Linked DNA regions of Schizosaccharomyces pombe. The protein of the gene in region 2 purifies or fractionates together with the protein of the main gene of each other region. This does not show direct contact. Each region holds a gene or a part of one and is shown on either strand. Other genes may lie near its edges. The genes, in order: ubc4, cul3 and rbx1.

Region 1 (3,582 bases), on a different chromosome or scaffold from region 2:
TCAATAGACGACGTTGTAAAGACAAATACAAAACTAGGAGTTGAATTGACTGGCTATTATGAGTTGTGTCTATAGCAGTATCACTTCGTATTGCATGTCAAGTATTATCATTTTCTTTTCAGCAAAAAGGCGCTACAAGGAATTTGTTTATTACTTAGTTTTGTTTAATAAATATTTTTAGCAAAACCTTAAAGACGTAGAGCCGTTTACTCTCTTCGTAACACGACTTTCCATTCGTGTTATTCTACTTTTACTTGCACAATATTTCACTTAATCGGCAGTGTTTACGTACCTTTTTAAAAATATATGCACAAACGCTCTTGGAATAATCCAACTGGACCCATTCGGTCTTATTAAACACAAAGAAAAATTTTGTACTATTCAAAAAATCATAAAAATTATCTAAATCAAATCATACTTTATCCTCGAACATAATACAGTTTGTTTTAAAGGCAGCTTGTATCCTCAATTTTACGATGCAACTTTACTAGCTACATTATCGCCATCCCCTACTATTTATTTAAAAAACCAAAACCAAAAAAAAAAAAAAAAAACTATACAATACATTGGAGAAAACAATTCGCAAAAGAGATGAATATTTAATATCAACACAGAAACAAACTCTAGATTGCGTATTTTCTAGTCCATTCACGAGCACTTAATTCATAACGGGATCTGTCAGTTTTGTAGACGTGCGCAATTTCAGGCACAAGCGGATCATCAGGATTAGGATCTGTCAACAATGAGCAGATAGACAGTAATACCTTTGATATAGTCAACGCTGGAGACCATTGGTCACGAAGGATATCCAAACAAATGCTACCGTTTGAATTGATGTTGGGATGATAGATTCTGGTTGTAAAGTTTACCTACGAATATGCTGTTAGTTATCATTAAAAAAAAAAGACTATCAATCAGATTCGTAATGCTACGCAATGTAATTGCCCTCGCTTCACTTGGATGGACGCAATCGTATAAAAATCGATAAAGTTCCGCTGGTAAAACATAAAGAAATGAAGATAAAAGGTAAGAGTAAACAATTATAAAAAAACTTCTGCGTATACTCTTTCACCATAACACTTAAAAAATTTTGCATCACTGTCAACCATACCGATTTTTCCAGAAAAACAAGATGCAATCAACTCTTCAATTCATATTGTATATAACAAACTTCCTCCTCCGATTCACAAGCTTACAATGCGTATTTACATAATCTACACAAGACTAAATAGTTACATACCTTTGGTGGCTTGAATGGGTAGTCCGTAGGGAAATGAATGGACAAGAAGAAGACACCACCCGCATAAGGGCTGTCAGCCTATATATCATGTTAGCTGCACAATCCTAGCAAGCAAAATTTTGGCAGTGCGCAAGGCACTATTACAGCCGCGACTTACAGGACCCATGATTGTAGCTTGCCAATGGAATAAATCATCGCCAACAGGGCCGGCGGAACAAGAAGACGGTGGGTCTTTTCCAAGATCAGCTAATTCACGGTTAATTCTTTTCAAAGCCATCGTTACTGGTTTGCTTTTGCGATTTTACAAAGTCAGTAGTTTGCTCGTGGAAGAACGTGGACGGAGGTAGAAATAACATATAACCGATGGATGCACTAAATCACACGAGTTCGACTTTGTCTGAGTAAGCAATTTTTCAGGATGGCGCAACTTGCTTTGTACCTGCAAAATACCCGCTAAACAGTTTGTTATCCTTTTAAGGATACGCTACGTTACGATAAATTTTTTCGGGATCCAGCATACTATTGTATTACAAATAGGGCAAAATTAAAGAGAATTACAGATATTATATTATGGGGGCGGTATTATAACGATTTATCAATAAAAGAGCTTGTAAGTGAACTGAAGAACGAGGATCAGTTTAACTGACGACATGATGGCTAACTCAGAAACTATTTTACTTGTGAAATACAATATAGACTATATCAGTATCTTCCCGTATTTAGCGAATAGAGAAACCGGACAGGCGATATTTGATGATATGCGCCGTAGCGACCACAGCAGAATACACCATTGCTCAAAATATCGACAAAATTGTTAAATTACTATAACGTAAAAAATGAGCTTGCCGTTCCACTTTAAATATATAGTGTTGATCATATCTACTAACTTAGCTAAAATTGACAAAGTGGTAATGGGAGAGACTAATGTATAGCTTTGGTTTTATAAAGTGTTACTTAAGTCACGTTAGAAAACTAGCTTATATCCACTGTGGTTATTATTTTCTGCCGGAAGCCATTTTATAGCATTGCTTTATTTGCTCTAGTTATGCATAACAAAAAATAAATTTGCACAAAAATTTTTTGCCCATTTCGCCATTTATAATTAAAAAGACTAAAGTATACCTTTGATTGGAACCATAATCCAAGATCAAATCTGTATTGCTTCACAGCATAACCATAAATGTGTTTGCATACGTGTATTATATACGAAATATAAAACAACAAATTTGAAAATAAAGCACACGACCATTCTCCAAACCCCTGTGTTTTTAGCGTATTACTCATTTATTACAATGTGCAAAGACCAAGTCTCAGTTTAAACAACAAACGCATTTGTAGCGTTGTAGCACCGATCGAAAACTGTTTTTCAACAACTTTCCTTCTGTTACAGCTTCGCAAACTCACTAAATATTTCAATCTGTAAACTACATATAGTTTTCATAGACATTAAAGAAACATACAACTGAACAACTTTGAAAGTATATTTTAAGATCTATAAACTTTCCATAAGTTTTTTAAAATTCGCCCAAATCAGGCTCATCGTCATCTAAATCTGCCTCAGCCATTTCTTTATCCATACGCCTACGTGCCTCTTCCACACCTTCGAGTTCACTTTTGTGAGCATCCATGGGATATCGCATACTTTTTATGCTGTCATTATGAAGGGCAAGACAAAACTGAATACGTTCATGAAAAGCTTGTTGAGGCTGCTCGGTGGAATAAATATCCATGGCTTCGTTACTAGCCATAAAGGCATTACTATGATCGATACTTGCATCAATAACTCCATCACGGATGCCCTTAGCAACAATGTACTCGGCACTCTCTTCACTGTCCAAACCAAGCTTTATACAAACATCACGAAGGGAAATACGGGAATAAGATAAGGAGATCATCCTCAATCCAGTCTTAATGACGGTATGGCGAAGGCGGCATATCAAAGTATACAATCCATCGAAGCGAAATTCAGCCTCATACTTGGAAAGCGCGTCAGTGAAAGCACAAAGGTCACCAATACGAACTGCCTGGCTAATACGTAAGTAAGGCACTAAAGTTTTTTCGAGAGATTTTTGGCGGAAAATGCGGCGTTCGGGAATTTCTCCCATAAGCAATTGTACGACGATGTGCAATTTGTAAACAGCTTCCAGAAATTGAACGGCATATACTGTGTTGGGAGCCTTACGTATAGCACTAACTAAATGTTCATGAGCGGTCGTGTAGTCAAGTTGAATGGCGCGAATTCGACCCAAATAGTATTGGTAGCGAATTGCCAAGTTATTACTAGCATTCGTAAGAAAGGATGTTTTCGAAACGAGACGGTCTGCTTGATCATATAGGTTAAA
Region 2 (5,360 bases):
TGTTTGGTGGTTAAAAGGAAGTGTGGTACGCGGAACCAATTAAATGAAATTGGCGAACAAGTGGGGTTCGTTAAGATATTTGAGGTTATTTATACAATTTCCTAAACAAATAGAATTAAGCGGAGAATATACAGAATAGCATTGAACGGTAGATATTTTTAGGGGTTCTTCCGAGATTGCTAAAGAGGATAGCGTAGTCCGTTAGGAAAGAAGAATATTCTTAATGTAAACAACCAGGTGTTTCAATACTAAATCAAATACATAGCTTTATTATTTGATTAACACCTTAAAGATTATAAGGAGCTTTACTTGCTCTGGTATTTTCGATGTTATTAGTAGAGTCATCATCAAAAGCATACTGTGTAGGATAGTGTATTTACGGCGAATTCGCTTCCTCCCATAATAATTTTTTAGGTTAACACTTCCCATCTATCGTTGATCAAATACCTTAATCTATTTTAAACTGAGGGTTTTTCTGTTTTGGTCTTTTTGTACAATGTATATGGAACAATGTAATTTAAACTCATTACTCTACTATCTGCTCGCAGAATTAATGTATCAAATTTTGATTGATTTGGAATATAATCTACCTGTTTTCAAACCTTCTTATAGCATTACTTAAAATTTTCTTTTTTTCAAAAATAAAAAGGAAGTTGGTGTAAAATTCATGAGTGTCATTATAATCACAAAGCTTTTGCTAGATATCATCTTGAACAAATTGGTATCTTTCCATTTAAACATGATTTCTCGTATACGAATATTGCATTTCGTGTAACAGTTAAGGCTGCTATGCTAAATATTCATAAATGCGACCATTATCGGCTTGTCTTTGTAGGTACTCCCGCTCTATTAAAGCTTCAATTCGTCGCTTAATCATCATCGGACTAGGGTGGAAACGAGGGTTTAACTGTCTTGTAACCTCTGCCATCAGCTGATTGTGTTCGCACACTTTGCGATCCCTTAATTTACTGTTAGTAAAAATGTTTGAAAAAAAAAAAAAAGGAAAAAGACATACTTCATCACTCTAACAATACAGGCATCTGCTTGATGCTTCCTTGACTCGTCTACCTTCTCTAATGTACGTTTTCTCTCACTATCATCCTCAACACGAGTCTGAGCAACTGTCGATATTTTAATCCGGGCGAGATTTGAAACAAAGTTCTCATTGAAATAAAACTTGTCACCTGCATTCACCTCCCTTCCTTTTGGATCCTTTAGCAAAATCTTGTATTTTGCACAAGCAAGGGACTGAAGATTGCGCTTCAAATCCCCAACTTCTATATTGGTTTTTTCCAAAATCTCCTCAAAAATTAAACACTGATTTTCTTTTAGGTCTTGGAAAAGCAATAGAATAACAGATGCAATAGTCGATACATTCAAGTCATATTTTCTGTCTTTGAAATTAACACGGACATCAGCACTTCCCTAAATAGGATTGTTAGTGTGACGCAACAAGCAAATAAAAGTTTACTATACCATAGAAGGATACCACAATAATTTTCTCCCCGTATGTTTCGATAAATAAAAATCCGTAAATTGATCTATCTGAGCCAGGAGAACTTTCGGAAAGTTACATTTAATTTTGTGAGGCGATAAATCGATGGGCCAAAATGTAGAAGCCAAAATTGAAACGTTTAAGTCCAAAGCAGGCTAACTGTTAGTATAAAGGATTATCAATAAAAATTTCCACTAACCTTGGCCGACTGTAACGCAGAATTATGTTTGTACTCCTGTAACAATTCTTGTGAAAGATTCATATCTAAGCATTAATAAGGGAACGCAAAAAAACTTGCTAAAGTCTGAATACTTACCATTAAACATTCCTTCGAGCTTTTGAGTAAAAACATTACCAGCTTCTTGTTTCAGCCTACTGATCATTCCGAGCTCTGCATCGGAAGATATTGATCGATTATTCAACAACCTAAAAGTGTTAAAGACAGTAAAAACAATTAAAGCATACCTTTTTGCAAGGTGTGTTTTGTAATATTTTTCAAAAACATCTTTTTCTGAAATAAACCGAAATAACGTAACAGAATTTTGAAGTGTTGCTTCAATAGAGCCTTCTATTGCTTTTCTAGCATCTTTTTTCAGATTGTCATCAATGAATAGTGAAATGTACTCGGGGGCTCGGGTATATCCGTCTACGAACGTAACAAAAGCATCTGATAAAGAGTTCAAGATAGACCGATCAGCATCCATAGTAGTACTTATAATTGTATTTAGTCTATCCCATAAGGCCAAAACTTTTTGAACCCATAATGTTGCCATTGTAGCATTAGATGATAGACGACCAACAGCCATCTTTCCTTCAAGCGCTTGGCTAGTAGTTTCATTGATTAATTTTCCATGATGCGCTACATATTTCGCCAAGTATTTTTTTAAAGACTTCACGCCAAGTTCCACTCTAGAAAAGCTTTCGTAAACCAATTGAAGACCCTCGAAGTTTGAAGAGTCGATCATCGAGAAAAAGCCAGTTGATTGATTTTCAAGCAAATCGTCCAAATGTTTACTCAAAAGCTCATCTTCAACAACGGATAGAAGGGGGCTAGCTATTTTTGTGAACAGGTAATTCTTGGACCTCTCCTTTTCTTCCTCAAATCTTTTCTCTGCTTTTTTCAGATACTCCACAACTCCAAATACGCCGATGACTGTTGATGATTCTATTTCATAGAAATTTCTTGTGTAAGATAAAAACTTTGGAGCAAATAAAACATCATAAAGAGTTTCCTTTTTGTTTTCTGAAGGCAAAGAGTTTAGCATATCTAAGCAGTCATTTATTAAGGGTCGATTTATTGTATTCCCTTTACGTTCAAGATAAACCAGAATTAGAATAGTTTCGACACATTTCTCTCCAATTTCAAAACTATTTAACAAAACAACTTCACGAAAGATATATATTCCGTTTTCATTAACAGGAACTTTGTCTGCAGATTTTGAATAAACCTTGTCCAAATATTTTAATACACTAGATATCATTTGCATTGAAACAATGTGATCCTTCCAGGAATTAACTAAAGACGATAAAAATCTATGAGCCGCTTCCAATGATCTCGACCATGAAGTAGAATAGGAATCATTTTTTCTAATATCCAATAGAGCATTCCCTAATAAGGAAGCGTCATAGTTTTTGTAAATAGCTGGAACAGTTTCTTCTTTAAGCCTCGATCTAATAACATCCTGTACATGATTATAAAGCTTTTCTCCATACTTATGTAGAACAAGTATATATGCATTTCTATACAACTCTTCAAACGATAATTGAGATGTGCTTTTCTGAAATATATCCCCAATAGCTCGCTGCAAGACTTCCCAATGTGTAGCAAAGTCTACTTGGTTAGCAGAAAACTAAATGTCAGTATGTGAGGAAAATAATAAGGACAGCATGCATCAGGTACACTTACTTTTCGTGGCGCTCGAATTTTTAACTTCGCTGACCGCTGCATTAATAATGGAATTTAAAGTTAAGTTTCAACAAAAAAGCTAAATATATGGGCATATGAGTTTGCATAAAGAAACGCCAGCACAGACGGAAGTAATGGTACAAAAGGTGGTAGAAGGTACTAACTACGAACAACATTCTCCGAACACAAAAATTTTTCAAACATAATGTGGAGCTTTGCACGGTATACTCAAAAATTCTGTTTACGAAATTTGCAGTTAAAAAATTTTTCAAACAAGGTAAAGGTTTCAAGTTTACTTTTCTGTTCCCCGAATGTGAGAAACATTTCTAATTGGCAATGCAAACGCTTCACTCAAAGCGATGCTAAAGATCTTGCAAGTGGTGTTCCCTCTGTAAAATCAGATGCTGATCAATTACAACCTAAACCGACTTATAATGTTTCTTTTACTTGTACCGTGTAAGTATTTATAATTTCATTGAAGGATACTAACCAAATGAAAGATGTAACACTAGGTCAAATCACAATTTCTCCAAGCAGGCCTACCATAATGGGACCGTTTTAGTTCAATGTCCTAAGTGCAAAAATCGGCACTTGATGGCTGATCATTTAAAAATATTCTCTGAAGAACGGGTGACGATTGAAGACATTTTAGCTAAGAAAGGGGAAACTTTTAAAAAAGGCTATGGTCAAGTAATCAATGGCAATGTTGTAGAATTTAAGCCCCCTCAATTTAAAATTCGACCAGCAAAATCATCTTCTTCCAATTCTTCCAAATGAACTAGGAGAGCGATCAAATTGGGTTTAGGAGCATATAAATTGCAAGATATAGTCATTGTTTATTTTAATTTCTATAGTATATATTATTTTTATTTATTTTTGTAATACTTTGGTCAATATATACGACGTTCTAATAGAACATTTAATTATTATATGAGCTTGTTAACTTGAAATTATCTTTTGAATTTTTAGACTAGATGTGATAATTTAGCAATCATTGAGCAAATCATATCCAAAAAAAAATAAATTAATTAATTAATTATAAAAATTAACGATTTTAGAGATCTAAATGGGCTATACAGAATTATTGCAAACGAATGTAAAACATTTTTCAATATATAAGTTGCTAATTTACCAAAATCAAAATTTAGTCTTTAAAGATGCTTAATTAATATTTCTATTTTAATAGCGCGTTTTGTATAGTGCTGACTATTTTATTCATTCCAATAAACAATACAAACTGAATTTATTATTTTTAAAAATATAATTGATTTCATCATACTCTCTCTACCTTACTCTTAAAATTATTTACGGACTATGAAGCTGACACAAAGTGTAAATTACGCAGTGTCTTGCATTTTGCTAGTGAACACCACTAGGTTTGTTTACTCTATGATATTTTGAGAACCGACCATCTTCTTTGCTGTTGGTAGGAGACTTCTAGGATGTTACGTTTATTTCGATTTGATGTTCTTGAGACTTCGACCAAAGATACTGAAAGACCCAATTCTAAAAGTTCACGGTTAAGTTCGACTTCTGGTTCAAGTCATCCATCTTCATCTTCACGTTTGACCGTTCGAAGCGCAGTTCCGGAAAAGAGCGCTTTTGGTTCCATAGAATTTATTTTTTACTTTTCTGTCATTCTATCGATTCTAACAATTGCTTGTTTTAAAATTCATTATGTTAGTTCTCGTAAGTGTCAAAAGCTTTAATCAGCCTTTTCTATTTATCAATTTGAAATAAAGTAAGCAACTAACTAGGCGTCAGCAAAACATCCCAATTACAAAAACATTGAAAAATATTTAAAGCCTGGGTGGTTGTTTGGACAAAAAGTCGATTCCGCTGATTTTCAGTATTCCGCGTTTCGTGAAAATATGCCAATCTTACTACTTGTAATTATTGTCTATAATTTTCTCTGGAGACTCGTTAAGCTTGTCTTCACAAAAAATACTAATGATGAAC
Region 3 (3,271 bases), 1.1 Mb from region 2:
TTAGAGAATTGAGTATTTTTACAAAAAAAAAAAAGACAAAATTAATGACAGAGCGATGTAAATAAGTAAAAGTACATTAGCATTTTTTCCTCAAATTCAAGATCCGTAGGCTATGATCTCTTCATGTTGCAAAATGTTTGTAGACAGGCTCCAAACTTTTAAAAAACTACTTATTCCAAAACATGCTTGCCTCAACGAAGTATCGCTACCGTTCTCTTTCGTTTTACTAACAAGTTCAATTTGTTTCTTGTTTTTGTATTAGTCGATTTTTAATATGCACAGGCTTGCATAAAGATAGTTAATTATAAATTTCATTTGTTTGATTTTAAGCTTAGCATTTCATTCAGCTCGACTTCAAGCTGACAATCCCCAATGCAAATATCCTTGCGTCTCGTTAGGCAGGTTACATTTCCAATAGTTTGAACGTAGCTTCCGCGTTATTATACTTTGCCAGTTTTAGTGCATTGTATAGCTACACAGTATTTTGGTTTTAAACTTAGCGAGATATCTCAAAACCCCTTGGCATGCTCTTAGCACGGTACTTAGCTGTAGATCCTTTTAAAATTTGCTAACAGATGTAAACTTGAAAACCAGATTTTTCGGCTTAATATATTCCATCTATCATTTAAATCTCTTTGATGATAACTTTCAAAAATTGAAGGAAATCCGATGTTGACGATGAAATCACTGTAGATACGAATGTTTACTCAACGAAATTACCATACAATTTGATGCCGATCATTTTAAAGACATTTTTAGCAAAATATAAGCAGTCAAACTAGTAGAAATTTTTACAAAAAAAAGCCATATACGAGGTTTGTTTAGTACAAATGACTATACGATCGCAATAATATAGTAATCAAATGAGCCACAGGAGGCAGCAGCTGTGTATAATCGGAAATTAAAATCCTAGTAAAGATACACCCGATCTATAGAAATGATATTCTTGTGTTCATTATTTTTCAAGTTTTGTAAACTATTATTAATTTTGCATACTAGCAAAGACCATTTACAACAAATAGTGCAACCTACTTTTGAAAACTTTTGTAATCAGAAGACGAATATGCTGGACTAAAATAAACATTAACTGCATCTTGTTCTACGATTGTTATATTGAGATGGTTTATTTATTAATTGTATGGATAAAGCTTTTTTCAATCAGTCTTGAATTTCAGAGTCAATACAAGTTAAAAATAAATCAATTTTGGAATTAACTTCCCTTGTATATTTCACTTCCAAGGTATTTATATTTGGATGAAATACAATAATAAAAAATAGCTCTATTACTTCAGAAAAATTCGCTGAATGTGTTCAATTTGATATGCTAGAGAAGGTACAATATTATAGATAAATAGGGCTATTTACTAATTTTGGTTGAAACGTTTGTAGGAAACCGTCTTCAGTACTTCGATATTATATACAAAACTTATTCAATAGATGTCTAACGAGCACACATAATACAAATAATATCTAAGAAACTTGTATTGTCATCATGTAACATAGAATTAAAAGTTTACACATTTAAACAAACTGAGTAATTTAATGTAGCTAAATAGATATAGTGCTAAACACTCATGAAACAGCAGATGAATAATCATCCTTCATTTTTTGAGTACGCATTTTGCGATTGAAAGATCCATGATCCATTATTTATTATATTAAATACTTGTGTTTTAGCAAAATTTATTACATTACTCCAAAAATTATCTTATGTTTGAGTATTGCTTAGCGAAGCTGCAATTTTCAACCCCCTTTATCACACCGCTTAAACATCTCATCTTAAAACGAAGTAGCGGCTTTGCTCTATTTTACTCATCACAATGGAAGATGAAATGCAAATAGACAAGAAGGAGGTGGAAATTGAACAAAAACCTCCTCGATTTGAAATTAAAAAGGTTCGTCATTATTTTTATGATCATGTTCTTCATGTGTATCAAATTTGCCATAAAGCAAAGTAAACTGTGAAAATTAATACCCAAAGATATATTTGCTATTTTAAAATAAGCATACACTTAAGTACTAGTTTACTCTCTTTGCTTTTTTTATGAGTTCTTCTGATTCATATTGCTTACCTTCAATTTAGTGGAATGCTGTAGCATTATGGCAATGGGACATTGTTGTAGATAACTGTGCTATCTGCAGAAATCATATTATGGACTTATGTATTGAGTGTCAAGCTAACACCGATTCTGCTGCTGCTCAAGAGTGCACAGTGGCATGGGGAACTTGTAATGTAAGTTTTAATTCGATTTCTTTCGTATTCTTAGCTCAGGACTGTTTTTAACAAATACAAAAGCATGCATTTCACTTTCACTGCATCTCAAGATGGTTAAACACTAGGAATGTTTGTCCTTTGGACAATCGTGAATGGGAGTTCCAACGTTATGGTAGGGTATATTAAGACGAGCCTACTTTACTAACTTTATCTCAGGTCATTAATAACATTTATTAAGTACTTACTTTTTTGTTGGTAAAAATATTTCAATGGAGCAGAGCGTTTTATTAATGAAATGACATGAATCAATTAAAATTTCCTAAAATCATGACTACTTGTGGCTAGTTTAAGTTTCCATGTGACTTTGAATTGTTATTTATATTTATTTACTCCAATTACTCAGATAGTGGACGAATATATCAATTTATTTTATTGCTTGTCAAATAAAATTTCCTACAGACAGTTTTTAACTACACATCATATAAATTAAGACATTATATCACTACTTTGTATACACTTGAAGAATTAGAACATTACTTAAATCATCAAAAGAAATGGCATACTTCTAAAGTGCTATTGTTAAAATTGAATAGGCATACAGACATTATGCTGCATATCGCATGACAGAATGCGAATCATTGCTTTCGAGAAGAATGTCAGTGGTGAGATACAAAAGCTCAGTAGTGCACGGATTTTCTATACTTGCCAATCAATTCACAAATTCAGTTAACTTTTAAATAAGAACAAACAGCTTTATGAAAATTACCATCTGATGTTTAAAACCTTCAGTTTATCAGACTTGGTGTTTTCGTTAATAGTGGGTAGGCATAAAAAGATTCGTGGTACTTTGACTCTTTATTCGCCTAATACTAATGTTTCTGTCGCCTTCGTCACTTCCCACTATAGAGAGACCTACATTCATCTGACTTTTTAAGTGATACTAAAAAGTCGGATACTTTTTATATAAAGACTGTAAAAAGCATCCCTATGTGATTGAATGTGTATATATCCATCTCTTTAAAGGTTTGATAGGGTAGGGTCATTTCAGCATGAAAG

Evidence for each region.
Region 1: the proteins of cul3 (region 2) and ubc4 purify together in Schizosaccharomyces pombe (affinity purification with mass spectrometry, with the first as the bait; one study listed by BioGRID). This does not show direct contact.
Region 3: the proteins of cul3 (region 2) and rbx1 purify together in Schizosaccharomyces pombe (affinity purification with mass spectrometry, with the first as the bait; one study listed by BioGRID). This does not show direct contact.

Annotation. Positions count from the first base shown.
Region 1 is NC_003423.3:713,268-716,849, reverse strand, and holds ubc4 (ubiquitin-conjugating enzyme Ubc4), read right to left. Parts: upstream 1,566-3,582; 5' UTR 1,518-1,565; coding exon 1,398-1,517; exon of another isoform or gene 1,319-1,397; coding exon 1,241-1,318; exon of another isoform or gene 1,083-1,240; intron 870-1,082; coding exon 624-869; 3' UTR 539-623; downstream 1-538. Other genes in the region: 19S proteasome regulatory subunit Rpn3, read right to left, coding at 2,755-3,582. UniProt on the Schizosaccharomyces pombe protein: E2 ubiquitin-conjugating enzyme that catalyzes the covalent attachment of ubiquitin to other proteins. Mediates the selective degradation of short-lived and abnormal proteins. Mediates ubiquitination of pex5.
Region 2 is NC_003424.3:485,173-490,532, forward strand, and holds cul3 (cullin 3), read right to left. Parts: upstream 3,543-5,360; 5' UTR 3,444-3,542; coding exon 3,402-3,443; intron 3,346-3,401; coding exon 1,961-3,345; intron 1,922-1,960; coding exon 1,812-1,921; exon of another isoform or gene 1,760-1,811; coding exon 1,695-1,759; exon of another isoform or gene 1,651-1,694; coding exon 1,477-1,650; exon of another isoform or gene 1,426-1,476; coding exon 1,016-1,425; exon of another isoform or gene 960-1,015; coding exon 788-959; 3' UTR 551-787; downstream 1-550. Other genes in the region: TIM23 translocase complex subunit Tim15, read left to right, coding at 3,607-3,857, 3,902-4,178; gup1 (MBOAT family O-acyltransferase), read left to right, coding at 4,844-5,090, 5,166-5,360. UniProt on the Schizosaccharomyces pombe protein: Probable core component of multiple cullin-RING-based BC3B (BTB-CUL3-BTB) E3 ubiquitin-protein ligase complexes which mediate the ubiquitination and subsequent proteasomal degradation of target proteins.
Region 3 is NC_003424.3:1,573,590-1,576,860, forward strand, and holds rbx1 (SCF complex, Cul4-RING and CLRC ubiquitin ligase ligase E3 subunit Rbx1), read left to right. Parts: upstream 1-1,755; 5' UTR 1,756-1,820; coding exon 1,821-1,895; exon of another isoform or gene 1,896-2,083; coding exon 2,084-2,233; exon of another isoform or gene 2,234-2,296; coding exon 2,297-2,387; exon of another isoform or gene 2,388-2,411; intron 2,412-2,431; coding exon 2,432-2,439; 3' UTR 2,440-2,718; downstream 2,719-3,271. Other genes in the region: mediator complex cyclin-dependent protein kinase subunit Srb10, read left to right, coding at 3,265-3,271. UniProt on the Schizosaccharomyces pombe protein: Component of E3 ubiquitin ligase SCF complexes, which mediate the ubiquitination and subsequent proteasomal degradation of target proteins.